Linked DNA regions of Canis lupus familiaris. The protein of the gene in region 3 binds, or shares a complex with, the protein of the main gene of each other region. Links are inferred from orthologs where the notes say so. Each region holds a gene or a part of one and is shown on either strand. Other genes may lie near its edges.

Region 1 (4,288 bases), on a different chromosome or scaffold from region 3:
TCTTTGGGGGAAAAAAGGAAAAGAAACCTTAAGAGGGGACTAGGAGAGTGTGAGAAACTCCTCTTGTCTCCAAATGGAAAAAAGGCCTTAAAAAGCTGGATCAAAGGAAGAAAGGGGGATGGGGGAGACAGGCTGCTTAATTACAAAGACACCCTTTTAAAGAAGGCACAGGCCCTGGGAGAGAGCTCTTAGGAGAGGCACAGAAGCAGATGTACCCACTTAGAATTCTGGCACTCAATGGGACCTCAAGGTCATAGCATCCATCCCTCTGCGCTCTGAATAGACTGTTCTTAAGGGCATTCTAGAAACAGTGTAATTCACTCTTTATAAAGCCTCAGAAAAAGCAACTCCACAAAGTGCCTTGGGTTTGCATCTGTCTAATAATTCCTATCTCACAAACCAGAAATGACCTTCCAATCTCCAAATCCAAAATAGCATTGAACGCGAATTTTAAAATTTCCTTCTAGAATCTGTTACGTAGGTAAACAGATCCACCACTTTCACCCTAAAAGTGACTCTACAACAAGCATGGTCAGAGATTTACTGCCTATCTAGACTATGAAGTTAGGAAAAGCACTTTCAATTTTACAGAGCCACAGAGTTTTCCAAAGAAAGAAGGATCTTAAAATGAAGTATGATGTAGTGCCAGAAAGTGTCTGTAAATGACACCGGATAAACCCATACAGAATAACTGGAACCTGAGTTATCATCTGTAAATAGACGCAACTACTCTACAACCACCTGGCTATTAAAATGTCCCAGGCCAGTTATAAAATGTAGTTTGGTCAGGCCAACTTTTCCCTCCCAGCTGATCTGAAAGACGATAGCCTTTAAAATTGTCGCCCTGTAACATTCTTTCTCTCCCTTCCTGCTTTGCTTTCCCCCCCGTTAAAATCAACCAACACAACTATTTAAAAATAAAGTGAATGATTTGTTCCCAAACAAGCAATGGGTTGGTGACATCTTGGTAACAGGTCTCTAAATACCACCACCCTTCTAAGTTTGCCACGCTTGCCTGACTGGAGAGAGGTGGGGGGAGATGGGTGAAAATTTATCCTGCATCCAAAATGCTATTTCAAAGTATTGTTAGCTCCTAAATGAAGGTGCTGAAAGGTCTAACCAAGAAAGCTTCACAAAGGCTGGCCCACGAAAGGACTTTTCACAAAACCTAGTTCAAGGAGACTTAAATAACCTTAGCCCTCCATTATTGGAGACTATGGTGACTAATTATCTTCCTCTCTGAATGGAAAAAGGTTATATTCAAAAAAGTTTTTTTTTAATTTTTTTATTTATTTATGATAGTCACACACACAGAGAGAGAAAGAGGGGCAGAGACACAGGCAGAGGGAGAAGCAGGCTCCATGCACCGGGAGCCCAACATGGGACTCGATCCTGGGTCTCCAGGATCGCGCCCTGGGCCAAAGGCAGGCGCTAAACCACTGCGCCACCCAGGGATCCCAAAAAAAGTTTTAAACGCCTCCCAACTTCTACTCTTAACGTAAGGGTGGCAAACGGAAGGAGGAAGGAGAGCTACATTAGACATAACTACGATTCTTTCTAAAACACATGCTAGAGATTGCTAATGCTGTTTCTCACAAACGCCCCCTTTCCTCTCTCATTTAATTGTATCTAGTCCCTTGCTGCAGATGATTATTAAACTACTATTAGTGGCAATTTACCAGACTACAAAGACTGTCACTTTCCCTCTCATTTTTCTTTGTTTTCATATATTGATCGATCCATCCTGCTGCTAACGCACCAATGTACAGTGACCTGGGCTTGGGACCCTCAAGACACCTGCATGATCCTGCAGAAGTCCTTACTAACATCTCTAAAGCAGATACTGGGCAATCCAGTCCTCACCACCATACACGTACACACACACACACACACAGACTAAAAGGAGTGTAGCATGGTAGATTACTCCCAGACTTTAGGACTTCAAGAATTCACAGCCCCCGGCGGAGGGCAGTGTGGGCCCCCACCCCAACTCTAAGCATTTAGGGAGGAACGCATCTTGCAATCTGAGATAAGCGCACACATTCCTCCTTAGTAAATGTAGACCTGAAGTTCCCTCATTCCTTTTTGTGCTTAATCACCTAGGGACCTACAAGGGTCCCAGGAGCAAGGAAGTAAAAGTACCATCAAGTAGTGGTACCCACTAGCATCTCCGTAGGACGGGAGAGGAGCGCACACTCTTTAACCGATTTAAGTTGCTGCTCATCCTGGAAAACTCAACGGCCAGCTGCAAAGAAAGTAGAACACACGGGCATCACCACACACATCTAGATCAACTCACTCACGCCGAGGGCACGATCAAGTTCATGCCACCATGGATTCCTGCCCCAGTTCCCCGCGTAAAGTAACCATGCTTCTCCTACCCCTGAAGGCACCGAAGACAAGGTGACGACTCTCTGCTCGCTCAAGTGGCTTCGGTCCCGGGCCGGAGGCCAGGGATGGGCAGGGGGAAGCCCCAACTCCGGCTGCTCCGCTCCTCACTGCTCCGTCCGGGCTCTCCTTGGTGGCAGTGGACAGGCAGGATACCGGGCCAGAGGGTGGAGCAGCAGATGGTCGGACGCAAGACAGGCTGGAGGTGGGGGCTGGAGGGGGCGGTGAGAACTAAGAGAGGATAAGGCAGAACAGAGAGGAGATGGAGGAATAATAAATCAGGGGGTCTACCAGCTTGGGCAGCCAGAAAGCTCCTCGGAAGGAAGGGGCGTGACTGCGATGAAGGCAGCTCCTGGGCAAAGGATGGGAGGTAGGGGAGGAGGACGAATGGGTGGCTTTTCTTCTTGCGGTGCGCGGCTAGGACCGCCCAGGAGCGGGGGGGAGGAGTGGGAGGGGGTGGACTGGAGAGTGGGGCGGAGTAGAGGGCGGGGAATGAAGGAAGGGAGCCGTCCAGGACCCTGGAGGGGCGGGGGGCGGAAGAGAGGCGGGGCCAGGGGGCGGGGAAGTTTCAAACAATTGAACGGCGGGGTCGAGCCACTCCAGCGAATGCGAAGGGTCCTAGTTCTCGTCCACCCGCTAACGTGGCTCAACGCGCTGACTGGGTCCTGAGAGGCTACGGAAGCGCTGGCTGGGGGGAAAGAAAGGGTTCTGCAAAGACTCCAACAATAATCTACGACACCAGCGGAGGGGAGGTGCGTGGGAGAGCCCGTGCAGCCCCCCGCCCCACAGCGGGAGGAAGAAACACAAATAGAAATGCTGAAAAGCAGCTTCTCGCAAAGCTTGCTCAAAATAATGCAGGAAGGAGCAGCGCTCCTCTGTTTTCCTTCCCTTCTTGCTTCCTATGACCAGCAGGCCCCCACCCAGGTCGCAGCTTTGCGCGACACCCTTCTTTCTTCCTCTGCTGCCGGTAGCCTCCCCGTTCCCACCCCACCCCCGCATGCCCGCCCCCCTTCCCTTTGGCGGGCCGCGTTGGCAGCGGGGACGGTGTGGGCGGGGCTCCGCGGAGTCTCCGCCTCCGGGGCGGTCTGGGAGGGCCGGCCTGGGAGGGGCGGGCGGTGAAGAGTTAAGTCTCACCCGGCGTTCTTTCGCTGCTCCGGATTGGCGAATCCCCGTCCAGGATTCGGTCGGGATTGGTCACTTGCGTCGTCGGTCCGATCTTTTTGTCCCACCCTCTCTCAAAATTAATAAAACTGAACAAGAGACTATTGTCTCGCTCTCCATCTCCCCCCCACCCCCCCGGCTACTGCTGAGCAGAGAAAGAAGAGACGCTAGGTTTCTCGGTCTCCCGAGAGAGTGCGACAGTGTGTCGTCGGCTGGCTCCCGTACACCTTTGTGGCAAGGTCTGGCCCGCTATTCCCAAATAGGTAGCTTTTCTTTCCCCTTAATTCATGAGGCCCGGAGGGGCAAGAAGTACGTCAAGTATCACTGTGGTGTTCACGTTTCCCGGCTGCGAAAAACTGATCCTGCCTGAGAGCACAGACAGTTAAGAACAGCATCCTGGGACACTGAAAATCTACCATTTTTACATCTGGGAAACAAAAGCCCAAAGGAACACTGTAGGGGTAGCAGAATGACACGGAACTTGGAAGGGAGGAACTCACTTTGGACTGTAGCACTTAACAGCCAGTTGTGCAACTTTTTTGAGTCGCTTGACTTTCCCGAGCCTTAATCTTTCTATCTGTAAATAAAAGCTGTAGGACATACCCTATTAACAACATTGGCATATGAAAATAAAATGAAATGTGTGTGAAAACTGCAAACCACAGAGCACTCCACACATGTATGTCTTCCTCCTTGTATATGTCCCATGGTGAACAGTCTTGAATGTGTCCAGGAAAAT
Region 2 (4,150 bases), on a different chromosome or scaffold from region 3:
GCCACTGCAGGCAGGAGACTTAGCACTGCTGTGCCACAAGGCTCTGCACCCTCAGACGGTTGTCTGGCCTCTCTTGTCTGGGTTCCCTAATCTTTAGGTGGCTACAGGGTTCCAGATAGTGATAAGGAGCCGCACCTCTCAGCCGTTTGCACCAGTGGCAATGGCGGTGGTGGCCCCTGGCACTGAGCTATGTCAGTGCCTCCTGAGCATCGCTCCCTTTCCTCCTCTCAATGACCTTATGAAGTGTGGACATCAGCTGACAACCAAGGACGTAGAGAGTTAGTGCAAGGGCACAGGTCTCATCCATGGTGAGCTGGCACCCAGACCTGGGGAAGGGCTCCCAGAACCCCTGCTCCAAGCACAGGGCTGGGCAAGTTGCCACTGTGATCCTTCTTGTCACACAGCCTGGTCTCTCACCCCCAAGTCCTCAGAATTACCTGGACAGTTAAAAAGTCTCCATGCCTGGGCACAGCCCAGACCCACTAAATCAGCCTCTCTGGGATGTGGACATCAGTATGTTTAGGGCTTTCCAGGTAATTGCTGTGCCTCAGCAAGTTTGAGGAGCTCCCTTCTAGTCCACTGCTCACAGAGCACTTCCCTACCCATGTGGCCTTCACTGCCCTGTCCAGTCCCCTCCGTCCTGGTAGGTCAGAGGAGCCTTCCTCTCCTGAGGCCCTTGGCTGTTCTGCACCCCTGCCTACTTCCTCAGGCTAGCATACCCTGCTCCTGCCACCCCCCCCACTCTCCCCACATCCTTGCCCCAGGGCTGCACCCTTCTTCCCAGGATTGACACCCATTCCTCTCTCTGGGTCAGAGCCCTTCCACCCTCATTACACTTCCCACCAGCACATCTATCCAGGTGCTGCTCTGGGCTCCCACTCCTCAGAATAGAGACCATCCAGATGACCATAATGCAGAATCCTGGAGGTTCCCCTCCCCCACCTTGTGCTGGGTATGTTAACACCCTCTGGCTGCTGGACGGAGGGGCCAGGGAAACAGGCCAGGGTGGTGCACCAAAAGGGGCTATGGCAGGAGACATTTACGGACAAGTTTGGAAAGACTTCAACATTTAACCATCGGTGCAGCCATGCTGGTGAATGTCAGTCTCAGGTAAATCGTCAGCAAGAGTCAGCTTCTTGATTCGCACAGCCTCTGTCCTCAGAAGGGCTCCCTGTATCTCAGACTCCAGCTCTATCTTTCCCAGCCAGCTGCTCCTGTCCCCCCCCCACCCCGCTTCCCCCTCAGTGCTCACCTGTCCATCCAGGCAGGCAGGAGCACTGTGGGCGGCCTGAGGCCTGGATGTGGCAGCGGCCCATTTTGGAACAGAAGGAAGAACAGGGGTCCTTGAGCAGGGTCTGGCACCTCTGGCCGGTGAAGCCAGAGGGGCAGGTGCAGGAGAAGCTGGGGGCCAAGGGAGAGGGAAGGCCAGGGGAGCCTGGGAGGGCAGGAAGCAGGGCTTGGCAGCTGCCCCCATTCTGGCAGAGCTGGGCATCCTGGCAGGGGTCGGGAAACTGGCAAGTCTCACCCAGGAAGCCAGGTGCACACCTGAGCAGGGGAGGAGAGAGGACAGCTTACTCACTGGGCCCTCTTTGCCTTCTCTCCCACCTCCCTCAGAGCCTTTACTTCCTCTCTTTCTCCTTCCTTCCCAGTCCCCCCTCCACCCTGCTCTCCTTCCCCGTTCCAGTCTCCCAGTCCCAGGAGGCACACTCACTGGCAGGTCCCTTGTCCCTGAGATAGGCTCAGGCAGGTGCCTCCATTGGCACAGGGTTCTGGGGAGTCCCCACACGGCAGCACTAGGGATGGAGATGAGGATGGGATGGGCCTGGGGAGTACTGTGCTCCCCATTTCCCCCTCTGGGTGCTCTGGAGGGACCTGCCTGTAGCAGCGGGACGCGTGCTCTCTCGGACCACTGCCTCTGTTCCTGGTCCCCAAGTGGTGCTCTTGCCCCAGTGGCCCCCCCCCCCCCGCCCCCCCAATCCCAGGCCCAGGCCTCTAGATCCTCTTGGCTATTAATCCCCACCCCCTTTCCTGTTTATCCTCTGGCCTCCCAAGCCCAGGCCTCCCAAGCCCAGCCTCAGACTCCATCCCGGAAGCCCTGACAACAGGGCTCAGGAGGGGGCCCTGGGGACTCCAGGAAGGTGAATGGCTGAGACGTTGAAGGGATTTCCTCCCGGAAGAGCCCAGCATTGAGCCATCGGGGGTGGGGACAGCTGGACCGGGAAAGGGACTTGGTCCTAGAGCCCTTGACCTTCCCATGTCTCCATCTCTTGCTTTCTTGTCATCGCCTCCCCTAGCAGGTGGTCAGTTTTTTCCCTCTTCACCTCCTAAACGCCATCTCAAGAGCCCCCTGTCCCAGCTGGGTTCTCTCTGGGAGCGGGCACCCTCCTAGCCATTCCTCTGACAGTTACCGCCCCTGGCTCAGGCCCCAAAGCCTGTTTGTGCAGCTCCGGTGGCAGAGTCTGCTCTCCCTGCATTGGGCAAGGGGGTGAAACTCTCCTCCATCCAGTGTCCCCTCAAAGCACCAGGCTTGGCCCTCTGCCCCCAACCCTCTTAAGGAAGGTGGGTCCCCTCACTCTCCCACCCCATTGCCTCACCTCTGGTCTTGACAACCGAGTGACACAGCAACAGCAGCAGCAGAGAAGGGGGCTGCATTCCAGAGCCCCTGCCCCAAACCCAGATCCCCTCCCACCTCCTCAGGAAAGGACTCTCAGAGCCCTCACTGGGGCAGGAGCTACCTCCCCTGCTCCCACAGCCCCTTCCTCCTCCTCTGCCTGAAGCAAGCCTCACGTCTGAGCTGTTTCCTGAGTCACACAATGTCCTGGACACCCTAGTGATGGGAGGGGGAGGAGTGGAGGAACATTGAGGGGGATGAGGGAGGGGCCTTCTGTCCCCAACAACCCCTGGGGACCGGAGGAATGGGACTGTGTGGTGGTAGGGCAGGTGAGAGGAGGGGAGCACAGGGCTTGGAGTGAGGGGGCTCTGGGTTCAGCCCCAGCCCTTCTGTTGTGTGGGCTTCCCTTTCTAGAGATGAGAATAGCAGGGTGGCTGCCTCTTGCCCTGGGATGGTCAGGACCTGGAAACAGAGGTGAGGGGTGCTGAGACATCTTCTGCTCCAGGTCCGTATCCAGGCTGCTCGGACAATCTGCGACTTTCTGTACATTGAAATCACTAACCTTGGCAGAGGGAGCCCAGGGTACTTCTGGCCCTTACCTTAGCCCTTGCTGGGAACTTAGTTTTCTTCCTTTGGGGAATGGGGAAGATACTAGGCTGATTCTGGGGGAAATCTTGGCCTGCCTTTGTTGGGGAACATGTAACCACATCATCAATGATAAATGAACATTGTCTGTACTAAAATCTGCAGTCCGGATTACCCACAGAAAACACTACATTTGGATATGTTCCCCTTCCCTCCCTCCACCACAGAGAGCCCTAGGATGCAAGAAATGCCAGTATTTTATTTTTATTTTTTTAAAGATGTTATTTGTTCTGTGAGAGAGCACCAGCAGTAGGAGGGGCAGAGGGCAAGGGAGAGAGAATCTCAAGCAGACTCAGCTGAGTGCAGAGCCTGATGAGGGGCTTGGTTCCACAACTGTGAGATCATGACCTGAGCTTAAATCAAGAGTCAGATGCTCAACCAACTGAGCCACTCAGGTGCCCCAGGAACGCCAGATTTTGATTTCAAAATTGGAGTAAATAGAGACACCTGGGTGGCTCAATCAGTTGACTGTCTGCCTTCGGCTCAGGTTGCTATCCCGGGGTCCTGAGCTCTCCCTCTGCCTCCCTTTCTTCCTGTGTGTCATGAATAAATAAATAAAACCTTTTAAAAATTGGAGTAAATAAAATGACAAAAGAAAATTCATTGCCTTGACTCATCCTACCTTTGTGAGTCAACCCAAGATAGTTTTGGCGTCCGTCACACACTGAGTTCCTCTAGTAGCACCTAAAGCTGAGAGTCTGGGTGACAGGAGGTGTCATCAAAAGCCATGCATAGCCCCCAGCACTGCAGTGCCCAAGGCTGCAGCCTGGTGTGCCTGGGATACCTTCCTTTTTAAAAACCTTTTTATTTGGAAATAACAAGCTCACAGAAAAGGGGCAAGAATATAATTCCAGGGTAGTTTTCATTCAGAATCACCAATAGGCATCATGATCA
Region 3 (3,088 bases):
AGTCGGAGCGCTGGGGGCGGGGGCATCCCCTCTCAGATACGGGCTTTTAATGGCGGCGCAAGCCTCTACCCAGATTGTGCTCCCCTCCTCTCAGATCTGAGCACTGGATGGGCCTCTAACTCGCTTTCAAGGCCGGGGTGCTCGCTGCGGCTCACTACAACCTGTCCTTGTCGCTCGGACCTCACACCTGAGAGGCTTTCCTGTCCCCTCAGATCTGGACTCTTCAGCCCCCCGCCCTGCAGCCCTAGAGCAGCCTTAGGGCCGCCTTTGCGCTCCCCCGACCGTCCGGGACCAGACCAGCTTGCTGGGGGCCACCCTGATGGAGAGCTGGACCTCCTGCCCCCCAGCCTCTCACCTGGGGTCACTGGCTCCAGAGTCTTGCCTGTGGGTCCCTGAGCCAGCCCCGTGAGAGGTCAAGGCCCTAAATCAGAAGTCAAGGTCTCTAAATCATAAGCCAGTCCTTGTCCCATCGCTTCGCCAATAACTGGAAGAGACAGGAGGAGTGTCACAGGGGAGCTTTATTGAGAGGAAACAGGGTCACACCCAGCAGACATGCTTTCCCTTTCATCCGGGTCTTGCGCGCTCTCACTCGTGCTCTCACTCGCTCTCGCTCTTTCACACACACACACTCATCTCCAGGCTCTGCCATACAGTCCAGCTCTCAGCCACAAGGGTGGGACACTCCTCAATTCCTAAGATTCAGAGGCAACGGGGGGCAGGAGGGAGGCAGGAGGGGGAGGAAGTGGCCCGGTTGGCGGTGGGGTTTCGGGGAGGGGTGCGGAGAGCAGGGGTGGGCGGGCCCCGACAGCGGCAGGAAGAGCGAGTCCCCCGGCCCTAGCCGGCCTCAGCTCTGCTGCTTCCTCTCCTCGGAGCTCTCGTGAGCAGGAGGCAGAGCATTGGGGTAGGAGGGTCGGGCCTCGCACCCCACACTAGTCCTCTCTGCCACGGGCGGGCGGGGTGCTGGAGAGGGCAGGGCGCGGCGGGGAGGGCGCGGTGGGCGGCTCAGCTCTGGGGTTCCTCGGGAGCCTCGCCCCCCTCTTCCCCGGCGTTGTCGGCGGTCCACAGCGTCAGGTTGTCTCTCAGCAGCTGCATGATGAGGGTGCTGTCTTTGTAGGAGTCCTCGCTGAGGGTGTGCAGGTCAGCCATGGCCTCGTCGAAGGTGGTCTTGGCCAGTGAGATGGCCTCCTCGGGGCTGTTGGCGATCTCGTAGTGGAAGACAGAAAAGTTCAGGGCCAGGCCCAGGCGGATGGGGTTGGTGGGTGGCATCTCCTTCTTGCTGATGTCCATGGCCTCCTGGTAGGCGGACCGGGCTGAGTCAATGATGCGCTTCTTGTCGTCACCAGTGGCCACCTCGGCCAGGTAGCGGTAGTAGTCGCCCTTCATCTTCAGGTAGAAGACTCGACTTTCGGCATCCCCGGCCTCCTTGATGAGGTGGCTGTCCAGCAGGCCCAGCACCGTGTCACACACGCCCCGGAGCTCGGTCTCCACCTTCTCCCGGTACTCTCGCACCTCCGGGCCCTTCTCTTCCGAGCTCTCCTCATTGCCTTTCTGCTCGATACTGGACAGGACCCTCCAGGCAGCCCTCTGGCCCCCCACCACGTTCTTGTAGGCCACCGAGAGCAGGTTTCGCTCTTCGCAGGACAGCTCCTCACCCTTTTCCACGGCGCTCTTCATGAAGGCTGCCATGTCCTCGTAGCGCTCAGCCTGTTCTGCCAACTTGGCCTTCTGGATCAGACTGGCTCTCTCCATGGCTCTGGTGACAGACAGGCGGCGGGCTAACTGGCTGCCTTGAAACCGATGCCGGATTCTGTGCCTCTCCTGCTCTCTGCCTGCCTTTTGGCTGGAAGGTCTGGCCCCAGAGAGGGGTGGGGAGGGACCGAGGGCGGGGCTGGGGCCCGGGACCTGCCTCCCTCTGGTCTTCTCCCCACACCCTTTCCGGCTCTTCCTTAAAGGTAAAAGGCTGGGATGTAGGGTGAGTCATCGGGGCTCAGTCTGCGGGAGAACTCCGCCGGGCGTCGGCCCCACCTGCACAGGACACCTTTCCAAGCTCCAGGCTGCCCCCTCTTGTTCGGTGCTTTGATTCCATGAGTGCCCACCCAGATGCCCCAGTTTCTCAAATCAGATCCTCCTTCATGGTGTTCTTCCAGGGGCCAGGGATGGCTTCAACCAAGTGGCCGCTTCAGCCTGGCTAGAGCGCATGAAGACAGGTGCACCCAGGAGGATGGGGTTCTTAATCCTACCAGGTACATTTTCCACCTTGGTTTGGGTGAGATAATTATGTTTAGGTAGGGCTGTAGTTTCCCAAGCACCTTCACAGCCACGATTGGATTGAATCCTTACTATGTCTCTGTGAGATGGGCCAGACTATGACTTTTACTCCCACTTTAGAGGTGGGAATGCTAAGGCTCAGAGAGGGATGAGATTTGCTCAAGGTCACACAGCTAATAAATCCCCTGTATCCTACTTCCTTTGGCTTCTCTCGTCAAGGCCTCTGACTTGTAAGCTCCAGACTGTATTTAGAAGTGAAATCCAGGCTTCTTCCGGAGTCTACCTGAAATGGTTCTCTCCCTTGGTCATCACCCCCCCTCAGGGTTCCCTCTGAGGTCCCAGAATGCACAGGTGGCATCGTTCAGGGTGCCACTTAATGAGGTATTTAATGAGCGGCCCCTGACGCTCCAGCCCAGCCTTTGTAATTAGTCATCCAGTAGGTTTGTTGGACACCTTCCCCATCACAGCACAATTTTCCCTTTCAAGTTGGTGGCCTGTTACCACTTGTTTGAGGACCTACCCTCTGGCTCTCCACGCCAGGTCACCTACCCCCTCCAAGCCGCCTGCCATCATGTATCAGTGGGGCTCACACAGGGTGGGGGCCCAGCTCTCCTGCCTGACTCAGCCTGCCTTCTGTCAAAGGCTGGGAAGCAGGCCACTTGGGTGCTCAGCCCAATTTGGTTCCCCAAGGGGGACGCTAGCACCTGGAGAGAGAGACAGGACCAAGATAAAGAAGGTGGCGGTGACACATACCATTTTGTTTTATAGGGTAGCAGTACCAGGTGAGTGCTGCCTCCCCCAGTCTGCCTCTCAGAAATTT
Region 4 (4,266 bases), on a different chromosome or scaffold from region 3:
TTTATCTCACTCCCCCGACCCCGGTTCCCTAAATTCAGATAGTCGGGAGGAGTGGAGGGAGAAGAGATGAGCAAAGGGTTGGTTAGTATATGGCCAGTCAAGTTAAGATGATTGCAATATAATCACCAGAAATTTCTGCAAAATTATAAAGCCTCCTGGAGCTAGTTCTGAAAAACTCTGACCTGAGTTGCTTCATTTTGCCTGGACCAATTCTAGAGATAGAAAAATTCTGTTAGAGGCTGGTTGGCTAGGAGAATGGGGGTAGGGTGGGGAACGTAAGTTATATTTCTGCAGGTGAAACCAAAGGATGAGGAGCCCATAGGGGCTATACACAGCGCCTGGAGAGGTCCAACTGCTGCCCTCTCCAGGGCAGGAGAGCAGGGAGCCAGCAAGAGGGTAATGTTAGGTTGGCGGGAGGGTGGCCTTCTGTAGGATGCTTTGCAATCTAAACCATCCTTAAGGCCCAATCTTGGGTAAGGCACTTCTCAACCTATTCTTCAGCCTCTTCCAAATGCTTCTGGAAAGACACCGGCTGGGTACCCAGAAGTAGGCTCTGCAGCAGCACAGTGCAAATCAGGAAACATGACCTCAATAATTATTTTGTTCGTGCAGGGCAGCTAGCTACAACCTCTACTACAAAGATTAACACCTTGCTTTACCTGAAAAAAAGTATGGTCCTGTTCAGCGTTTTCGCTGAACACAGGGCAGAGTGCTTGCCTCTCCACCAGTCAACAGGAATGTTAATCCCGAGGAAATGATTTGAGGGTTCTCCAAGCATTTCAATGCCAAAAAATGCCAAAAGCTTTTTGGCTTTTAATGCCAAAGCATGCACAACTTTTACCTGGTTGGGGGGGGGGGGGGGCCTCGAGGGAGTGCTACGTGTGTCCCCGCGCCACAAAGAGCCTGGCATTGGCAGGGTGGCAGAGGCAGCCGGCGACCTTCTAACCCGCCAGTGCGTCCTTCCCCGCAGAAGTTTGGGGAAGCAAATCCCTACGTCCAGCCATCATTTCCACCCGAGTTTTCAAAAGATCAAGAAACGGAAAGGTTGGCAAACCCCAAGGAGGAACTGCCTGGCGGGTCTGCGTTCATTGGGATCTCAGCAGCCGACGACCCCAAGTCGAATCGATCGTGGGAAACCCCAGGGAAAGAAGGCCGCTTGCAGAGGGACAGGATTACCGAGTGCAAGCTGCAGGGAAGTACCGGGGGAGGGGGCCTCGGTCGGGAGGACTTTCCAGCCGCTCAGCGTTCATCAAAAAGTTCCCTGTACATGACCCCAGTGGCTCATCGCCGGGAGTTTCTCTGATGAACCCGGCTCAGGGTTTAGGCTTCTCCCCCTTCCTCCCCCTCCCGAGCAGAGGACGGGGCCAGTTCTCTTTTCTGGTCTGACTGGCTTGGAAATTCCCCGCGCCTGACCCCGCCCCGGAGAAATCCCCTGCCAGCGTTTATAGGGCGCCGCGGCGGCGCTGGCGAGCCCACAAGAGTCGCAGCCAGCGGTCCTGCGTCCGTGACCCTGCGAGGCGAGGCGAGGCGAGGCGGCGAGCGCGCAGCCCGCGGCCGAGCGCACCTGGGCAGCAGCGCCGAGCCTTCCCGCGCCATGCTGCAGCAAGCCGAGCACGCCCAGGACTGGGCCATGGAGGGTCCCCGGGACGCGCTCAAGAAGGAGCGGCTGCTGGACGACCGCCACGACAGCGGCCTGGACTCCATGAAGGACGAGGAGTACGAGCAGCTGGTGAAGGAGCTGCGGGAGATCCGTCTCGAGCCGCAGGAGGCGCCGCGCGGCGCCGAGCCCTGGAAGCAGCAGCTCACCGAGGACGGAGACTCGTAGGTGTCTCGGGGCGGGCGGGGACGCCGCGCCTGCAGCGCGAGGCCGAGGGGCGGCAGCCGACCGGGGTGTGGGCACCGATCCCCCGTACACCCCTGGCCCCGGGACCGCGCAAAGCTGCCGGCTGCGCTGCGGGCAGCAGAGGAGGGTCGGATCCCGGGCTGGCGGTGCAGCAGCCCTGCGCTGCAGCGCGCACCCCCACCCCCCAGCCCCGGTCCGGAGCCGGTCCTGCCGGCGGGGGCGGGGCGGCGGCGGGGACGCGAAGTCCCCGCTTGCACAAGGGGGGCGGGAGCTCCTGCCCCGCGGGCGGGCGCCGGGGGGCCGGGAGGGGAAGTACAGGGCGTTCCGGCCCGGCGGGAGGGCGGGGCGGTCTGGCCGGCGCCCGCCGAGGAGGGAGGGGGCCCGGAAAGTCCCTGGGCGCCTGCCAGGAACACTCAGCTCATAATAACCTCGCGGAAAACACCGCGGCCTCGGCCTCCAGAAACCCCGGCCTTGCGCAATCCCCCGCAGCCCGCGCCTCCCTGGGCCCCACGCGATGCACTCACCAGCCCTGGGGGTTTTTCCCTCTCTTCCCCTTAGGTTCCTGCACTTGGCCATCATCCATGAAGAGAAGGCCCTGACCATGGAAGTGGTCCGCCAAGTGAAGGGCGACCTGGCCTTCCTCAACTTCCAGAACAACCTGCAGCAGGTGCGCCGGCTCGCCCAGCCCTGTGCCTCTGACCCAGTGATGAAGTTGGATCTAGCTCAGTTGCTCCCAATCCTTTCTAAATTAATAATCACTGGGCATTATGTACCTTGACCTTTTTACATTGGAATCGGCCAACGTCCTAGAGAATAAAGAAAATTCTATTGATTTGGTGAGGCCTATGATGAAAGCCCACCTGCGGCCTCTGGCATTTATCTTGCCCTTCATACCTGTCTGGGAGGAGGAGCAGCACCCACAACCAGTAGATCTCCGGAGTTCAAGGGAAGACAGACTCTTGAGTTTGGGCCATGGCTTACCCTCTTTCTATTCCCTCTTGTGTTTGTAGACTCCACTCCACTTGGCTGTGATCACCAACCAACCAGAAATTGCTGAGGCACTTCTGGAAGCTGGCTGTGATCCTGAGCTCCGAGACTTTCGAGGAAATACCCCCCTACACCTTGCCTGTGAGCAAGGCTGCCTGGCCAGCGTGGGAGTCCTGACTCAGACTTGCAGGACCCAGCACCTCTACTCCATCCTCCAGGCCACCAACTACAATGGTATGTCTGCCTGCCCTACCCTGCCCATCAGAAGGCAGGTGACATGGAGAAGGGAGAGGTAGGCCAATGTTAGGAGTCCAGGCAAGAGCTGAAACTCTGAATACTTGAAAGGTTGAGAAAATATGCATGCAAAAGGTCTGTTTCATGCCTTGATAAAGTTCATTCAGAGCCCAGATTCTGGGTTCTCCAAATTCAGAATTTATTCCCTATAAGAATAGACAGAAAGTTCTGCTTGAGATCTGAGGGTTGAAGCAAGTGGTTATATTTGCTTCATTGTTCTTCTAGGTCACACATGTCTACATTTAGCTTCTATCCATGGCTATTTGGGCATTGTGGAGCTTCTGGTGTCTTTGGGTGCTGATGTCAATGCTCAGGTGAGTTCTTCATGTCTCCAGATGGAACGCATCAGGGCTCCAGGCCCTCCTCAATAAGACCTCACATGTTCTTGTTGCAAGTAGAAATTCCAAACTCAACCATAAACATCTCAAATTCCTTTTGGTTTCAGGAGCCCTGTAATGGCCGAACCGCCCTCCATCTTGCAGTGGACCTGCAGAATTCTGACCTTGTGTCGCTTTTGTTGAAGTGTGGGGCTGATGTCAACAGAGTTACCTACCAGGGCTACTCCCCGTACCAGCTCACGTGGGGCCGCCCAAGCACACGGATACAGCAGCAGCTGGGCCAGCTGACCCTAGAAAACCTTCAGATGCTGCCAGAGAGTGAGGATGAGGAGAGCTATGACACAGAGTCAGAGTTCACAGAGGACGAGGTGAGTGTCAACTCCATCGCTCTGCACAAAGCAGTACCCTCCCAGGTCTCTAGAGCTCCTCTTTATCCAAAGAGCTCAATGCAATGAAGTTCTCCCACTTTAGTGTTCATGACCAGGAGTCTCCCAAAAGTGTGTCTTTGTTTTTTGCTCTTTTTAAAGGAGAGGAGCATTAAAGAAAAACTTCCTTAGCCCCTGAGGTTAATTTATACTTGGGTTATGGAGAATGGAATCCAAGAGTACTTGATAATGGCCCTCACCCTTATCCCAGTACCTTTGACAAAACTGGAAGCTTAACATGGCTTTTTTTTCTCTTGTTTTTAGCTGCCCTATGATGACTGTGTGCTTGGAGGCCAGCGCTTGACGTTATGAGCTTCAAAACATATCTAAAAGAACACGGACTTGTATATTTGTACAAAAAGAGAGTTTTATTTTTCTA
Region 5 (3,929 bases), on a different chromosome or scaffold from region 3:
TGAGCCAGCCAGGTGCCCCAGCAAGCAAGCTATGATGAAAAGTGATCCAGTTCTTGTGACAAACAGGTTTGAGGGGGCCTGAGTGGAAGTGGCGAGTCCATGAGGGGATAGTATCTGCATAAACAAGGAGAGTGGTTTTGACCAAGGACATGGTGAGATGAGGGGATGGGGGCAGAATTGGACATAGAAGTCAATGTCTGAGACACTGGGCTGCTAGATAAGAAGAGTGATATTGAACATTATTTTATTACGTATGATAAGTAGTAACTTCATTGCTACTAAGGATAGGAAAAGAGGCCATGCCATGCTCTGAGTAAGGAAGAAGGGAATGGTGTTTGGGTTCTGCTCTGTAGTGTTTAATATATTTTCTTGTTAAATCTGTGCAACAAAGCTGAAAGGTGAGTCCTATTTTCTATTTATGAGGAGAGAGCTCTCAGCAAGGTAAAATTACCTGCCTAAGCTCACAGCTGGGAAGAGGGTAAACCTCCACCAGCCTCCTCTCTTAAAAAAAAAAAAAAAAGGCAAAACATCTTCTTCCTCCTCAATATGCTGGAGAGTTGGGATAGAAGTTTTTGGCAAGAAGCGATGAGAAGGAGAGACCTCCTGCCCTGGAAGATCGCAAGGGAGGCTAGGACCGTGCCACTGAGGAGCCCTGGGTGTCCTGCCAGGATCCAAACCATAGGGGTGACCCGAGACACACCTGACTCAAACCAGAAACTGACTCTCCTCTGCATCTCCCACCTCCCACTCCTGGGAAGTCCTTCCTTGACTCTGACCTCATCTGATCTGCTTCTGTCCCCACTGTCACAGCATGCAGGCTCACTGCTACCCGGCCCCGCTGCTCCTTCTCCCTGCACCCTCTTCCTGCAGCCTATGACCGGACGCCGTTTGCTCCCCAGCAGGCACCCCGGCGCGCTGTGTCTGGATCTCCTCCCTCTCCGGAACCTGAGCACAGGGTGCCCCTGCCCCATCCACTGACCTTTGCCTGTGTGAGCCCTGGTTAATTTTTTGCCCAGTCTGTGGGCTGTGGGGCTCCTCCTTCTCCCTCCCAGGGATATAAGTCTGGCCGAGGCTCGCTTGCTTCTCGCCGTCCTGAACCTCCCCCAGCTTCCCCGCCCCTGCCCTCACCATGGCCAAGGGCTTCTACATTTCCAAGGCTCTGGGCATCCTGGCCATCGTCCTGGGCATTGCGGCCGTGTCCACCATCATCGCTCTGTCTGTGGTGTATGCCCAGGAGAAAAACAAGAACGCTGAGAGCTCCCCAGTGAGCTCCCCGGTGAGCTCCCCGGTGAGCTCCCCGGTGAGCCCCACAAACCCCAGCACCACCGCGGCTACCACCTTGGCCCAAAGCAAACCTTGGAACCATTACCGCCTGCCCAAGACTCTGATTCCGAGCTCCTACAACGTGACGCTGAGGCCATACCTCACCCCTAACAGTAATGGCCTGTACACCTTCAAAGGCTCCAGCACAGTTCGCTTCACGTGCAAGGAGTCCACCAGCATGATCATCATCCACAGCAAGAAGCTGAACTACACCAACATCCAGGGGCAGCGGGTGGCCCTGCGGGGCGTGGGGGGTTCCCAGGCTCCTGCCATTGACAGGACCGAGCTGGTGGAGGTCACCGAGTACCTGGTGGTGCACCTGCGGGAGCCACTGCAGGTCAACAGCCAATATGAGATGGACAGTAAGTTTGAGGGGGAGCTGGCCGACGACCTGGCGGGCTTCTACCGCAGCGAGTATACAGAGAATGGTGTCAAAAAGTGAGTTGTGGCTGGGTCTGCACCTGGGGGTAGGGAGGTGGGGGGTGGGCAGGTCCTAGATGCTGAGGCAGAGCTGGATCCTGGGGGCCGAGGGAGGGAGGGCTTGGACTGGCAGGCCTTTGAACTTCCTGGAGGCTTTTGCTGGTTCATGACTGCGTCCACAGGTACTGGTGGAGCGGCTACCTAGAAAGCAGCCCTCTCCTGGGGGCCCCCATTCCCCGCAATAGGGAGTCAGGGGAAAGTGGTAAAAGAGCCTCTGAACAGATAGGAAAACTGGGGCTCACAGGAGAAAAACTTGCCCAAGGTCTCCCGGCTAATACAGGGAGACCTGTATTACCCTGCCAGGACTTTGACTCTGATCTCTCAAAGGAGCGGCCTGTCAGGATCCAGAAGTTGGAAGTTGGGAGGGCAGGGATGAGGCCAGACCGGACTTTCATGCACCCCTTCTCCCACATGCCCAGCAACACACCCTAAATCCCCCACCCCACCTTGCTCACCCTCACGGGTGCAGGCGTTCCACCGGCACCCGCTCTAATATCCTGGTTTGGACAGGGTGCTGGCCACAACACAGATGCAGGCTGCAGATGCCCGGAAATCCTTCCCGTGCTTTGACGAGCCAGCCATGAAGGCCACGTTCAACATCACCCTCATCCACCCCAGCAACCTTGTGGCCCTGTCTAACATGCTGCCCAGAGGTGAGTGGGTCTGTCCCGGAGCCACACACCCTTAGGAAGGAGGCACCTCCAGGGCTAGGAGGCAGGGCAAGGGAGAGGAGGCATCTCTATGTGCTCAAATGCTCCATGCCTAGGTCCCAGTGTCCCTTTTACCGAAGAACCCAACTGGAATGTCACTGAGTTTGAAACCACGCCTATCATGTCTACTTACCTGCTGGCCTACATCGTTAGCGAGTTTAAGAATGTGCAGGAGAACACGCCCAGTAATGTCCTGGTAAGAAGCTGGGCCCACCTGTCCTTCCCCTGGGATTGGTCCTGGCCGGAGAGATAGTCTTGTTTTAATTCATTTTCATCTAAGCCCCAGATTTGTTTGAATCCCAGCTCTGAGTGATCTTGGACAAGTGTCTTAAATGCTAACCCTCAGTCTTTGCATCTGAAAAATGGGTCTCTCCTCATGAGGGGTGTTCCTAACATGTGGGTGCCAGACATATGGTGGCCATGACTGCTATTATTCCCAAAGCCTCCTCCCTAAGACTCAAAGCCCCTCAGAGACCACCAGCCTTTTCCTCTGCTGCCCACAGCTCTCAGTTTAACTCAGTTGATGCCCTCACTAGCCTACTGGGCCCCTGGGGCTCAGCCCATCTGCACCAGAACCCAGGAGGGACCTCTGACCTACCTTCCTTGTCTTTGCAGATCCGGATCTGGGCTCGGCCAAGTGCGATGGACCAAGGCCATGGAAATTATGCCCTGAGGGTGACAGGCCCCATCCTAGACTTCTTTTCCAGACATTATGACACACCCTACCCCCTCAATAAATCTGGTGAGTGAGGGGCCTTGGGGTGGGGGCAGAGGATGGGGCTTCCTCCCCAGAGGCCATCCTGCCAATGGCCTTGCCCTCCCAGACCAGATTGCCTTACCTGACTTCAATGCTGGTGCCATGGAGAACTGGGGGCTGGTGACCTACCGGGAGAGTGCGCTGTTGTATGACCCGCAGTCTTCCTCCATCGGCAACAAGGAGCGCGTGGTCACTGTGATTGCTCATGAGCTGGCCCACCAGGTAGCACCCCCCCATCCCAGAGAGTGCTGGGAAGTGAGCAGGGGGGCTCTGGGAGGAGAGGGCACAAGTCCTCACTCTGTCCTGGGTATCTGGACCCCACCCTGGACTAACAGCAGAGGGGAGTCCTGCCCAGCACCTGGCACATGGGGGACGCTCACTGAAGGGGAGTTCTGGGTCACAGAGCCAGAGTGGCTAACTGGGTTGACCTTCCCTCCCCAACAGTGGTTTGGGAATCTGGTGACCTTGGAATGGTGGAATGACCTGTGGCTGAATGAGGGCTTTGCCTCCTACGTGGAGTACCTGGGCGCTGACTATGCAGAGCCTACCTGGAATCTGGTGAGCCAGCTGCCTAGTGGAGGGGGAAGGGGGGGCCCCTGTGTGCAGGGTCGGTGGTCACCCCCCACCAGGTTGGTCCCTCCTCATGGCCACTGGGGATT
Region 6 (3,500 bases), on a different chromosome or scaffold from region 3:
TTTGCAGAGAGAACCTGAGCTGAGTCTACCCACTGCAGTGAGAGCATGAGTGTTTCTTTCTGGAATGGTCTCTAGAACCCATTTTTCCTCCTGATGATATTTGGTGTAAAGTCTGAGACATTGGCTTTCTTTAAATGTCACTGTGTATTTGTCACATCCCGGGTACGCTGCAGTATATGTCTCTACAGAGAGCACACCCAGAGCCCCCACTAAGCCCCTACACCTTTGGTGTGGACCCTTGTTCTCTTAGTGCTGGCACTGGATAGCAGGAATTAAGAGATGATACATCCCTTGTTTGCACAGTTCCAAGTAATCTGAATTTTTTGCTCCCAAATAAGTTTTGATTTCTGAGTTGACACTTCTTTCTCTTGTAGCCCAGTAGTCACCCATGATGAGAAAAGTGGTCATTTTGGGGTACAGGAGGGAGGTGTCTGATCATTCTCATTGCTGGGGGTGGTAGGAGGGCTAGCATGAGTTTGACAGTCCCTGGTCACCTGGCCACTCTCTTTTTCTGTCAGCATTACAGGCGGAAGAAGACCCATATCTTTTTCCACTAGAACCTCAAGCATCTTTGGAAGCGGAGGTGACCATAAGAAGAAGCTTTTTCTGCAGGATATAGCAGAACTGATTCGAGCCAGAGCCTGCCAGAGGGTGCTGGTCATGGTGGGGGCTGGCATCAGCACGCCCAGCGGCATTCCGGACTTCAGGTGCCCAGCAGCTCCTCCCTTGGCACCCCGGTCTGCCTCATGGCCCTGCCTCTTCCTCAGGGCTCAGAGCCTCTTGCTCCTCTTCGCAGGTCTCCCGGGAGCGGCCTCTATAGCAACCTGCAGCAGTATGACCTCCCATACCCCGAGGCTGTTTTTGAGCTGGCTTTCTTCTCTCACAACCCCAAGCCCTTTTTCACTTTGGCCAAGGAGCTGTACCTTAAGAACTACAGGCCCAACATCATACACTACTTCCTCCGACTGCTCCACGACAAGGGGCTGCTTCTGCGGCTCTACACGCAGAATATTGATGGGCTCGAGAGAGGTGAGCTCTCCGCCTGTCGCCACCTCCTCTCTGCACAGAAGGCTTGGGTGCCTGTCCTCTGGTTGATTTCAAGCCAACTAGTGATGCCATTGTCCCTGACAAAAAGTGCACCATGTGTCTAAGAGTCACTGTTGGGATCTCATTGGTGGACCTGATGTTCTGGCATAGTTGCTGGGCTGTGAGTTTTGGACAGAACTAAAATTGACATCAGGAGCTTCTAGTTTTGCTAGAAGCTGGTAGGGTGATTTTGTTTAAAGAAATTTATTACATTTTTTGAGCACATAAAAATAAAGAGAGGAATGTAATGAACCCCCATGCCTTCATCATAGCCAGTCCTTGCTTTATCTGTGTCTTCCTACCCCCACCTTTTCTCTCACCCCTGGTTATCTTGAAGCAAATCCCTGACATCATAAACTTAATCTATAAATAGTCTATAAGTACTTCACTGGTTATCTCTAGAAGATAAAGACTTTTATATATTTATTTTTAAAGATTTTTTAAAATTTATTTATTCATGAGAGACACACATATACAGAGAGTGGCAGAGGAAGAAGCAGGCTTCATGCAGGGAGCCTGACATGGGACTCGATCCTGGGTCTCCAGGATCCCACCCTGGGATGAAGGTGGTGCTAAACCGCTCAGCCACCCGGGCTGCCCCAAGACTTTTAAAATATAATTAGGATGCCATTGTCCACAGAGAGACCACTATTAATGCCTTAGTATTATCAAACAGGATGTGTAATGGTTTCTGACTGTGTCGATAACAGCCACAACCAGTAGTTCACAGACGCTGCATCTTAGGCACTCACCAAGCCTTTCTCTTATGGGCATCGACGCTGCTGATGGGTGCTGTTAGAGCTGACTTAGCATCTTGTGATTTGAAAAAAGGAGTCATTCCTGGACTCCAGGAAAATGATTCCTTGCTAGAAGGGTTCTGCAGCTTGGAATTACATAGGCAGCAGTGGATACCCCACGGGGATGATCTTTTCTGGAGATGGAGTAGGACAGGCCTTGTGGGAAGGTGGGAGCATCTGGCTGTGGCTTTAGCATATGGAGGTTTTGACAATAACGGGAACAGTGGAAGCCACTTGTGGCTGGGGCTGCTTGCCCACCCACAGCTCAGTGGCTGGCAGTGGGAACAGGGAACTGTCATAAGTTACCTCTGTTTTTCTGCAGTTTTTTGGAAGCTACTGTCTTTATATAGTTTTCTTGAGGGAGAGTATGAGAGCACGCGTGCATGTACCCATCGGGGGAGGAGCAGAGGGAGAGGGAGAGGGAGAACCCCAAGCTGACTCCCCGTGGAGCACGGAGTGTGAAGCCTGCCTGGGGCTCAACGCCACGGCCCTGAGATCATGACCTGAGCCAAAATCAAGAGTCAGATGCTCAACTGACTGGGCCACGCAGGTGCCCCTGTATAGTTTTTTCACTTTTGCTTGGTCTCTATGGAATAGGTAATTTTTCCCTAGGTATCAAATGTAATTTTATCTGAGTTTATAGCAAACTTGTTGACAGGCTTTGTTTTACCGTAATTTGGCTCCGTCTGGAAGCCCTCATCCCTGATGCTCATTCTGGTCAGTGGGACATCATCTGTAGGTGGGGGAGGCACGGACAGCCAGGCTTGCACTGAAGGCTGTGACTCCCTCTGGGGTCTGCCAAGTTCAGAGTTTACGCGCTGGGGCTTGTGCGCCCACCCTGGGGCCAGCAGCACTTAGCTTTGGTTTGAATTTCAGTAGCTGGGATCCCTGCCTCAAAGCTGGTTGAAGCTCATGGATCCTTCGCCTCCGCCACATGCACTGTCTGCCGAAGACCCTCCTCAGGGAAGGACATTTGGGTGAGTTGTCACGCTGATGGTTCTCTCCCTTCTGCACTTTGCAGTGGGAGTGATCTGGAATAGTGACATTTTATGAGCATTGTATTGGAAGACACCAGAACTGTAAAGCTGTGGAGTGCTTTTCTTTATTTTCAAATTGGAAAAGTAATACACACTTGTAAAAAATTAAGAAATATGTAGGGAAAAACATATCTCCCTTCAACCTATAGGGAGTTTCTATAGCCCACTCTTAACAGTTTAGTGTATAATGTTCTAAACCTTAAAAAAAAAAAAAGGCATACCTAAACGTACATGGCTGTGTCTGTATCCTTACACTACACAGTGACAATTTTTTTAATTAATAGGATTATTGAAATTTTTAAAAATTTATTTGTGAGAACATGAGCAAGAGGGGCAGAGGGAGAGGGAGAGAGAATCTCAAGCCAACTTCCCACTGAACACAGAATCCGATGTGGGGCCTGATCTCACGACCCTGAGATCATGACCTGAGCTGAAACCAAGAGTTGGCGGCACTTAAGCAACTGAGCCACCCAGGCTCCCCAGTAATAGGATTATTAGGGTTAATGTTCTACAACCTGCTTTGTTATAGAACAAAACTTCATGGATGTCTGTGTCAATAACTACAGCTTTGCTTACTATT
Region 7 (4,252 bases), on a different chromosome or scaffold from region 3:
GATACTTACATCTGTGTTTTTAGCCCCGTTTCAGTGCCTTCTCATTCCCCATGCTGAACATTCTGGGGTTTCTTTTTTTCCTTTTTTTTTTTTTTTTTTAAGATTTTGTTTATTCATTTGAGAGAGAAAGAGAGAGTAAGAGAGAGCAGAAGCACAGATAGGAGCAGGGGGAGAGGGAACCTTGGAGCCTTGGGACTCCCCCCCCCAGCAGGGAGCCAAATGCCAGGTTCTGTCACAGGCCCCCAGGGTCATGAAGGGTCACAGACAGTCCATGAACTACCTGAGCCACCCAGGCACACCGAACATTCTGGGTTTTTGCCTCACCTTCTCATTTACAAGCCTACAAGTCTCCAACAAGGGTACCTATGAGACTTTTGGCCAATGTCTTTACTACAGTTTAATAGTTGAAACCTTTCCATTGGAAACACGGGAGATCCAGATGGTAAAGAAGGACCTCTGATAGGGGAGGCAACAGATGCGTGGCCATTTTGCTCCTCCTTTTTGGGTGTGTGTGTGTGTGTGTGTGTGTGTGTGTGTCAGGGGACCGCCTGGAAGAGAGGAGGAGAGGGAGCAGGGAGCTGTACCTGTGTTCTCCAGCTGGGCACAGTTGTGGTATCTGGGCTCATCTTTGATCCTGGGGGAGGGAAGGCTACGGAGGGAGGACACGGGGCAGGGCCGCACACCCGCCTACCCAGTCTCCTTCCTGGAACCGGGCAGCCGCTGCCCTGCACCTTTGGGTTCCTGGGACAGTGGGGCTGACTGCACAAGACTTTCACACTCAGTTATAAGCATCTTCTGCTTTTCTTTTCCTCTTCCTTTTTTCTTTTCTTTTTTTCTTTCCTGTTCCCACCTCAGCTGGGCACTCCTCAAAACCCTCCTGCCTCCTCCTGAGTGACAGTTTTGGAAGCCCCTGTGTCGCTGTGACCCAGACAGGCCAGTTCCCGCATCCGAAATAGCCTGGCTCAACTATTGTTCCCTGGCCTACATAGGTGATAGAAACCATGCCTTAAAAAAAAAAAAAAAAAAAGAATGCAAGCGCTTAACCCTTCCCAACCCGAGACTGGCTGCTTCCTCGGCGCCTGAGCTGCCTGAACTTGGGTGAGAAGCGCGTTGGCTCTCACCGACGTTCCTGCGGCCTCCGCCAAGCGGCCCGCTCGGGAACCCTAATAAAAGCCAGTCCCCGCCCCCCGGACCCCCCCCCCCGCCCCCCAAGCCCCCCAACCCCCCCCCTCCGGGGTCCCGCGGCCCGCTCGGTGCGCACCGCCATCCCGCGCGGCCACCCTAGAGGGCGCCCGGGGCGCGCTCTCCGCGGCGAGGGGACCGCCCCGCTCGCGGCCCCGCGGAGGCAGGAGGCGGGTCGCTTCCCGGCTCATTGAGAAAGAGGATTGGAAGGCCCGGCCTATAAAGCGGCGCCGGGCGCGGGAGACAAAGCAGTCGGGCTGAGGTGGACGCGGGCGGCGCGCCGAGCCGGCCTGAGACTCGCGGAGGGGAGGGTCGCCTGCGCCCCCAAGCCCCGCCGCCCCGCCGCCCCGCCCGCCTCCTGTTTCCAGACCGGCTTCCAGAGAGACGGAACTCTCTCCTCTCTCTCTCTCTCTTTTTTTTTTTTTTCCTCCAAAAGAGAAAATTCCTGTTCCAAGAGAAAAGAAGGCAAGATCAATGAAGGAGAGAAGGGCCAGCCAGAAATTGTCCAGTAAATCGATCATGGATCCTAATCAGAACGTGAAGTGCAAGATCGTGGTGGTGGGGGACAGTCAGTGCGGGAAAACGGCGCTGCTGCACGTCTTCGCCAAGGACTGCTTCCCCGAGGTGAGCGCGCCGGGCCCCGCCTGCCCCCCGCCGCGCCCCCCGAGCCCCCCGCGCCCCCGGCCGGGCGGTGACCCGCGAGCCCCCGGGGACGCGTCTGCACCTTCCGCTCCGGCGGCCGACACCTGCCGGCTCCGGTGCGCGCGGGCGGGTGGGGAGGCTCGGCGGCCGCGTCCCCATAGCGCGGAGGCTCGGCGGCCGCGTCCCCATAGCGCGGAGGCTCGGCGGCCGCGTCCCCAGAGCGCGGAGGCTCGGCGGCCGCTTCCCCATAACGGGGAGGCTCGGCGGCCGCGTCCCCATAGCGCGGAGGAGGCTCGGCGGCCGCGTCCCCATAGCGCGGAGGAGGCTCGGCGGCCGCGTCCCCATAGCGCGGAGGAGGCTCGGCGGCCGGGTCCCCATAGCGCGGAGGAGGCTCGGCGGCCGCGTCCCCATAGCGCGGAGGGCACTCGGGGCCTTCGGGGTCGCTCCGGCCGTCTCGCGTGTGCGGCTTTCCCCCTCTTTTCTTGTCTTTTTCCAATCGGGGAGCGAGGAGGCGGGTTTCGAGGGCGCTCTGCGGGTGTCGCGCACCTCCGGTAACCTCTGCGCCCTCTCTCCCTCCTCTGTCCGCTGTCTGTCCAGAATTACGTCCCCACGGTGTTTGAGAATTACACGGCCAGTTTTGAGATCGACACACAAAGGATAGAGCTGAGCCTGTGGGACACGTCGGGTAAGAGACCGTCGGGCCGCGTGGCGCTCGGGGCGGGTCCCGGGCCCCAGCGCGTGGCTCCCCGCGGCCCCGGGTGACTTCGGGTGACTTCGCCTCCGCCTCGGGTGCCCGCGGTCCCCGCCGGGCGGGGCGGGGCGGGGCGGGGGGAGGGAGTGGGGCCGAAGGGGACAGCCAGGTGGCCCGAGGTCGGGGGGCTGCGTGCGCCCCTCCGGGAGCCGACCTGCTGACGGCTGCGGGGGCCGCGGGGCGCCGGGAGGGGGACAAAGTGCCCGGAGCCACGCAGCCCCGCGTGTGGGGAGCGCGTGCGGGGTCAGCAGCGGGGGCGCGAGCGGCCGGGACGTGCGGGGGGGCGCAGGGGCAGGGGGGCGCAGGGGCGCCGGGGGGCGCAGGGGCACGGGGTGGAGGGGCGCTAGGTGGAGGGCGGAGGAGCGCGGGGTGGAGGGGGCGCAGGGGCGCCGGGGGGCGCAGGGGCACTGGGTGGAGGGGACGCAGGGGCGCGGGTCGGAGGGGCGCGGGGCCGGGAGTCCGGCAGCCGGCCGGCCGCGCCGCGTGGGTGCGGACGCGCAGATCCCGGCCCCCCCGCCCCCCTCCCGGCCCCCCTGCATCACCCTCCGCCGGCCTTGACCTTCCTGTCCCGCTGAATCCTCGGCGTCGCGGTGAATTATCTTGAGGGGTCCGGGGTTCAAGGCCGGGTCACCGGGTCCCGGGCGCGGGGCGGCCGCGGGGGTGCGGGCGGGAGGCCCCGGCGGCCCCAGGGCTGGTGCCCGGCCCCCCTGCGGCGCGGGGAAGCTGGGGCGGGGGGGGGGGCGGGGGAATCCCGCTTCCCGGAGGTGTAGCCTCTGCAGGGGGAGGAGCCGCGGGAGGCGGGCGCAGCGGGTGGGGAGCGGCTGCGGGGCTGCGGCGGGAGAGGGGCCCCGAGGCCGGGGACGCGCCTGTGGCCCAGCAGCCGCCCGCAGCCCCCGAGGGTCGCGGGGAGTCGGCTCGGTCGGGCCGCAGGGAGCCCCGCGCGCGGCTGTGCACGTGGCCGGGAGGCTGTGACCCACAGCGCCAGGCGCCCACAGCGCCCACGCGCCCAGGTGCCAGGCGCCCTTGCTCCTGCGGCTCCTCCCGCCGGGGCCCCTCCGCCGCCGGGCTCCCCCGCGGCCTACTCCACCCCCCAGCCTGTAGGGGCCCAATGCAGGATAAGAATCATTCAGGAGTGGGGTCTGTGATTCTGATCCACTGTTTATGAAAAAAAAAAAGGCAACGACTGTGTTTAGCTCTTAGTACTGGTTACTGGGGATTTCTGTGTGCAAATCGCTGCCTCCCTGAGTCTCCTGTCCCCTTGGGGGTGGGGGGTGCAGAGCTAGACAAAGCGCAGGACCTCCCTCCCCCAGCTGCATACTCCTTGGCCTTGCACGCGAAAGCGGCCAGTCTTTTTGTTTCCCAGGACCTCGGTGGGCCCAGGGGCCCTGGCGTCCCCTGCTGGGCCTCGCACCACCCAGAGAGCCAGCCGGGCTCTGAAGGGAGCCCCCGCTTCCTGGCAGATTTGGGAAGGAGCCCCGTGTGGGGCGGGAGGGGGCATGGCTGGGCTCCCAGGAATGCTGGATCATGCCTCCCCTGTGTCCTGCCTCCTGAGTCAGAGGACCACCAATGGAGCGTTTATAGGAGGCGACCAAAGGGCTAAATTGACTTTGTTTTTAGGAGAGAAAAGGCATATTGTTTTTTCAAAGGCTGGATGACAAACAAAATGTGGTCAGTGCT

Evidence for each region.
Region 1: the proteins of SFN (region 3) and AMOT are in contact, whole or in part, in a crystal structure (PDB 7NPB), measured with the Homo sapiens proteins. The link is inferred for Canis lupus familiaris from reciprocal best matches to the Homo sapiens genes SFN and AMOT. Residues at the interface, in NP_006133.1 of Homo sapiens: Val46, Lys49, Asn50, Arg56, Arg60, Lys122, Arg129, Tyr130, Gly171, Leu174, Asn175, Val178, Tyr181, Glu182, Asp215, Leu222, Asp225, Asn226, Leu229, Trp230; in NP_001106962.1 of Homo sapiens: Val171, Arg172, Ser173, Leu174, Ser175, Glu176, Arg177, Leu178, Met179.
Region 2: the proteins of SFN (region 3) and NOTCH4 are in contact, whole or in part, in a crystal structure (PDB 7OR3), measured with the Homo sapiens proteins. The link is inferred for Canis lupus familiaris from reciprocal best matches to the Homo sapiens genes SFN and NOTCH4. Residues at the interface, in NP_006133.1 of Homo sapiens: Lys49, Arg56, Arg60, Lys122, Arg129, Tyr130, Glu133, Gly171, Leu174, Asn175, Val178, Glu182, Leu218, Gln221, Leu222, Asp225, Asn226, Leu229, Trp230; in NP_004548.3 of Homo sapiens: Arg1914, Arg1915, Phe1916, Ser1917, Ala1918, Gly1919, Arg1921.
Region 4: the proteins of SFN (region 3) and NFKBIA are in contact, whole or in part, in a crystal structure (PDB 6Y1J), measured with the Homo sapiens proteins. The link is inferred for Canis lupus familiaris from reciprocal best matches to the Homo sapiens genes SFN and NFKBIA. Residues at the interface, in NP_006133.1 of Homo sapiens: Glu14, Cys38, Asn42, Val46, Lys49, Asn50, Gly53, Gly54, Arg56, Lys122, Arg129, Tyr130, Pro167, Gly171, Leu172, Leu174, Asn175, Val178, Leu218, Leu222, Asn226; in NP_065390.1 of Homo sapiens: Gly62, Ser63, Glu64, Pro65, Trp66, Lys67, Gln68.
Region 5: the proteins of SFN (region 3) and ANPEP are in contact, whole or in part, in a crystal structure (PDB 7AEW), measured with the Homo sapiens proteins. The link is inferred for Canis lupus familiaris from reciprocal best matches to the Homo sapiens genes SFN and ANPEP. Residues at the interface, in NP_006133.1 of Homo sapiens: Asn42, Ser45, Val46, Lys49, Arg56, Lys122, Arg129, Tyr130, Gly171, Leu174, Asn175, Val178, Glu182, Leu222, Asn226, Leu229, Trp230; in NP_001141.2 of Homo sapiens: Ala60, Ser61, Ala62, Thr63, Thr64, Leu65, Asp66.
Region 6: the proteins of SFN (region 3) and SIRT3 are in contact, whole or in part, in a crystal structure (PDB 8ANC), measured with the Homo sapiens proteins. The link is inferred for Canis lupus familiaris from reciprocal best matches to the Homo sapiens genes SFN and SIRT3. Residues at the interface, in NP_006133.1 of Homo sapiens: Asn42, Ser45, Val46, Lys49, Arg56, Lys122, Asp126, Arg129, Tyr130, Pro167, Gly171, Leu174, Asn175, Val178, Tyr181, Glu182, Leu218, Ile219, Leu222, Asn226, Leu229, Trp230; in NP_036371.1 of Homo sapiens: Arg99, Arg100, Ser101, Ile102, Ser103, Phe104, Ser105, Val106, Gly107.
Region 7: the proteins of SFN (region 3) and RND3 are in contact, whole or in part, in a crystal structure (PDB 7OBC), measured with the Homo sapiens proteins. The link is inferred for Canis lupus familiaris from reciprocal best matches to the Homo sapiens genes SFN and RND3. Residues at the interface, in NP_006133.1 of Homo sapiens: Lys49, Arg56, Arg60, Lys122, Asp126, Arg129, Tyr130, Glu133, Gly171, Leu174, Asn175, Val178, Glu182, Ile219, Leu222, Asp225, Asn226, Leu229, Trp230; in NP_001241667.1 of Homo sapiens: Asp236, Lys237, Ala238, Lys239, Ser240, Cys241.

What each region holds. Positions count from the first base shown.
Region 1 is NC_049260.1:86,471,317-86,475,604, forward strand, and holds the start of AMOT (angiomotin), read right to left. Parts: upstream 2,801-4,288; 5' UTR 2,382-2,800; intron 1-2,381.
Region 2 is NC_049233.1:1,739,106-1,743,255, forward strand, and holds the start of NOTCH4 (neurogenic locus notch homolog protein 4), read right to left. Parts: upstream 2,801-4,150; 5' UTR 2,653-2,800; coding exon 2,595-2,652; intron 1,794-2,594; coding exon 1,712-1,793; intron 1,546-1,711; coding exon 1,253-1,545; intron 1-1,252. UniProt on the Homo sapiens protein: Functions as a receptor for membrane-bound ligands Jagged1, Jagged2 and Delta1 to regulate cell-fate determination.
Region 3 is NC_049223.1:72,665,232-72,668,319, forward strand, and holds SFN (14-3-3 protein sigma), read right to left. Parts: upstream 1,850-3,088; 5' UTR 1,750-1,849; coding exon 1,003-1,749; 3' UTR 501-1,002; downstream 1-500. UniProt on the Homo sapiens protein: Adapter protein implicated in the regulation of a large spectrum of both general and specialized signaling pathways. Binds to a large number of partners, usually by recognition of a phosphoserine or phosphothreonine motif.
Region 4 is NC_049229.1:14,263,084-14,267,349, reverse strand, and holds the start of NFKBIA (NF-kappa-B inhibitor alpha), read left to right. Parts: upstream 1-1,466; 5' UTR 1,467-1,594; coding exon 1,595-1,821; intron 1,822-2,401; coding exon 2,402-2,510; intron 2,511-2,853; coding exon 2,854-3,064; intron 3,065-3,349; coding exon 3,350-3,438; intron 3,439-3,569; coding exon 3,570-3,830; intron 3,831-4,151; coding exon 4,152-4,199; 3' UTR 4,200-4,266. UniProt on the Homo sapiens protein: Inhibits the activity of dimeric NF-kappa-B/REL complexes by trapping REL (RELA/p65 and NFKB1/p50) dimers in the cytoplasm by masking their nuclear localization signals.
Region 5 is NC_049224.1:53,265,553-53,269,481, reverse strand, and holds the start of ANPEP (aminopeptidase N), read left to right. Parts: upstream 1-1,129; coding exon 1,130-1,761; intron 1,762-2,313; coding exon 2,314-2,456; intron 2,457-2,569; coding exon 2,570-2,709; intron 2,710-3,128; coding exon 3,129-3,255; intron 3,256-3,337; coding exon 3,338-3,492; intron 3,493-3,714; coding exon 3,715-3,828; intron 3,829-3,929. UniProt on the Homo sapiens protein: Broad specificity aminopeptidase which plays a role in the final digestion of peptides generated from hydrolysis of proteins by gastric and pancreatic proteases.
Region 6 is NC_049239.1:25,731,965-25,735,464, reverse strand, and holds part of SIRT3 (NAD-dependent protein deacetylase sirtuin-3, mitochondrial), read left to right. Parts: exon of another isoform or gene 1-37; intron 38-518; coding exon 519-707; intron 708-796; coding exon 797-1,029; intron 1,030-2,759; coding exon 2,760-2,860; intron 2,861-3,500.
Region 7 is NC_049240.1:53,561,648-53,565,899, reverse strand, and holds the start of RND3 (rho-related GTP-binding protein RhoE), read left to right. Parts: upstream 1-1,452; 5' UTR 1,453-1,656; coding exon 1,657-1,806; intron 1,807-2,421; coding exon 2,422-2,509; intron 2,510-4,252. UniProt on the Homo sapiens protein: Binds GTP but lacks intrinsic GTPase activity and is resistant to Rho-specific GTPase-activating proteins.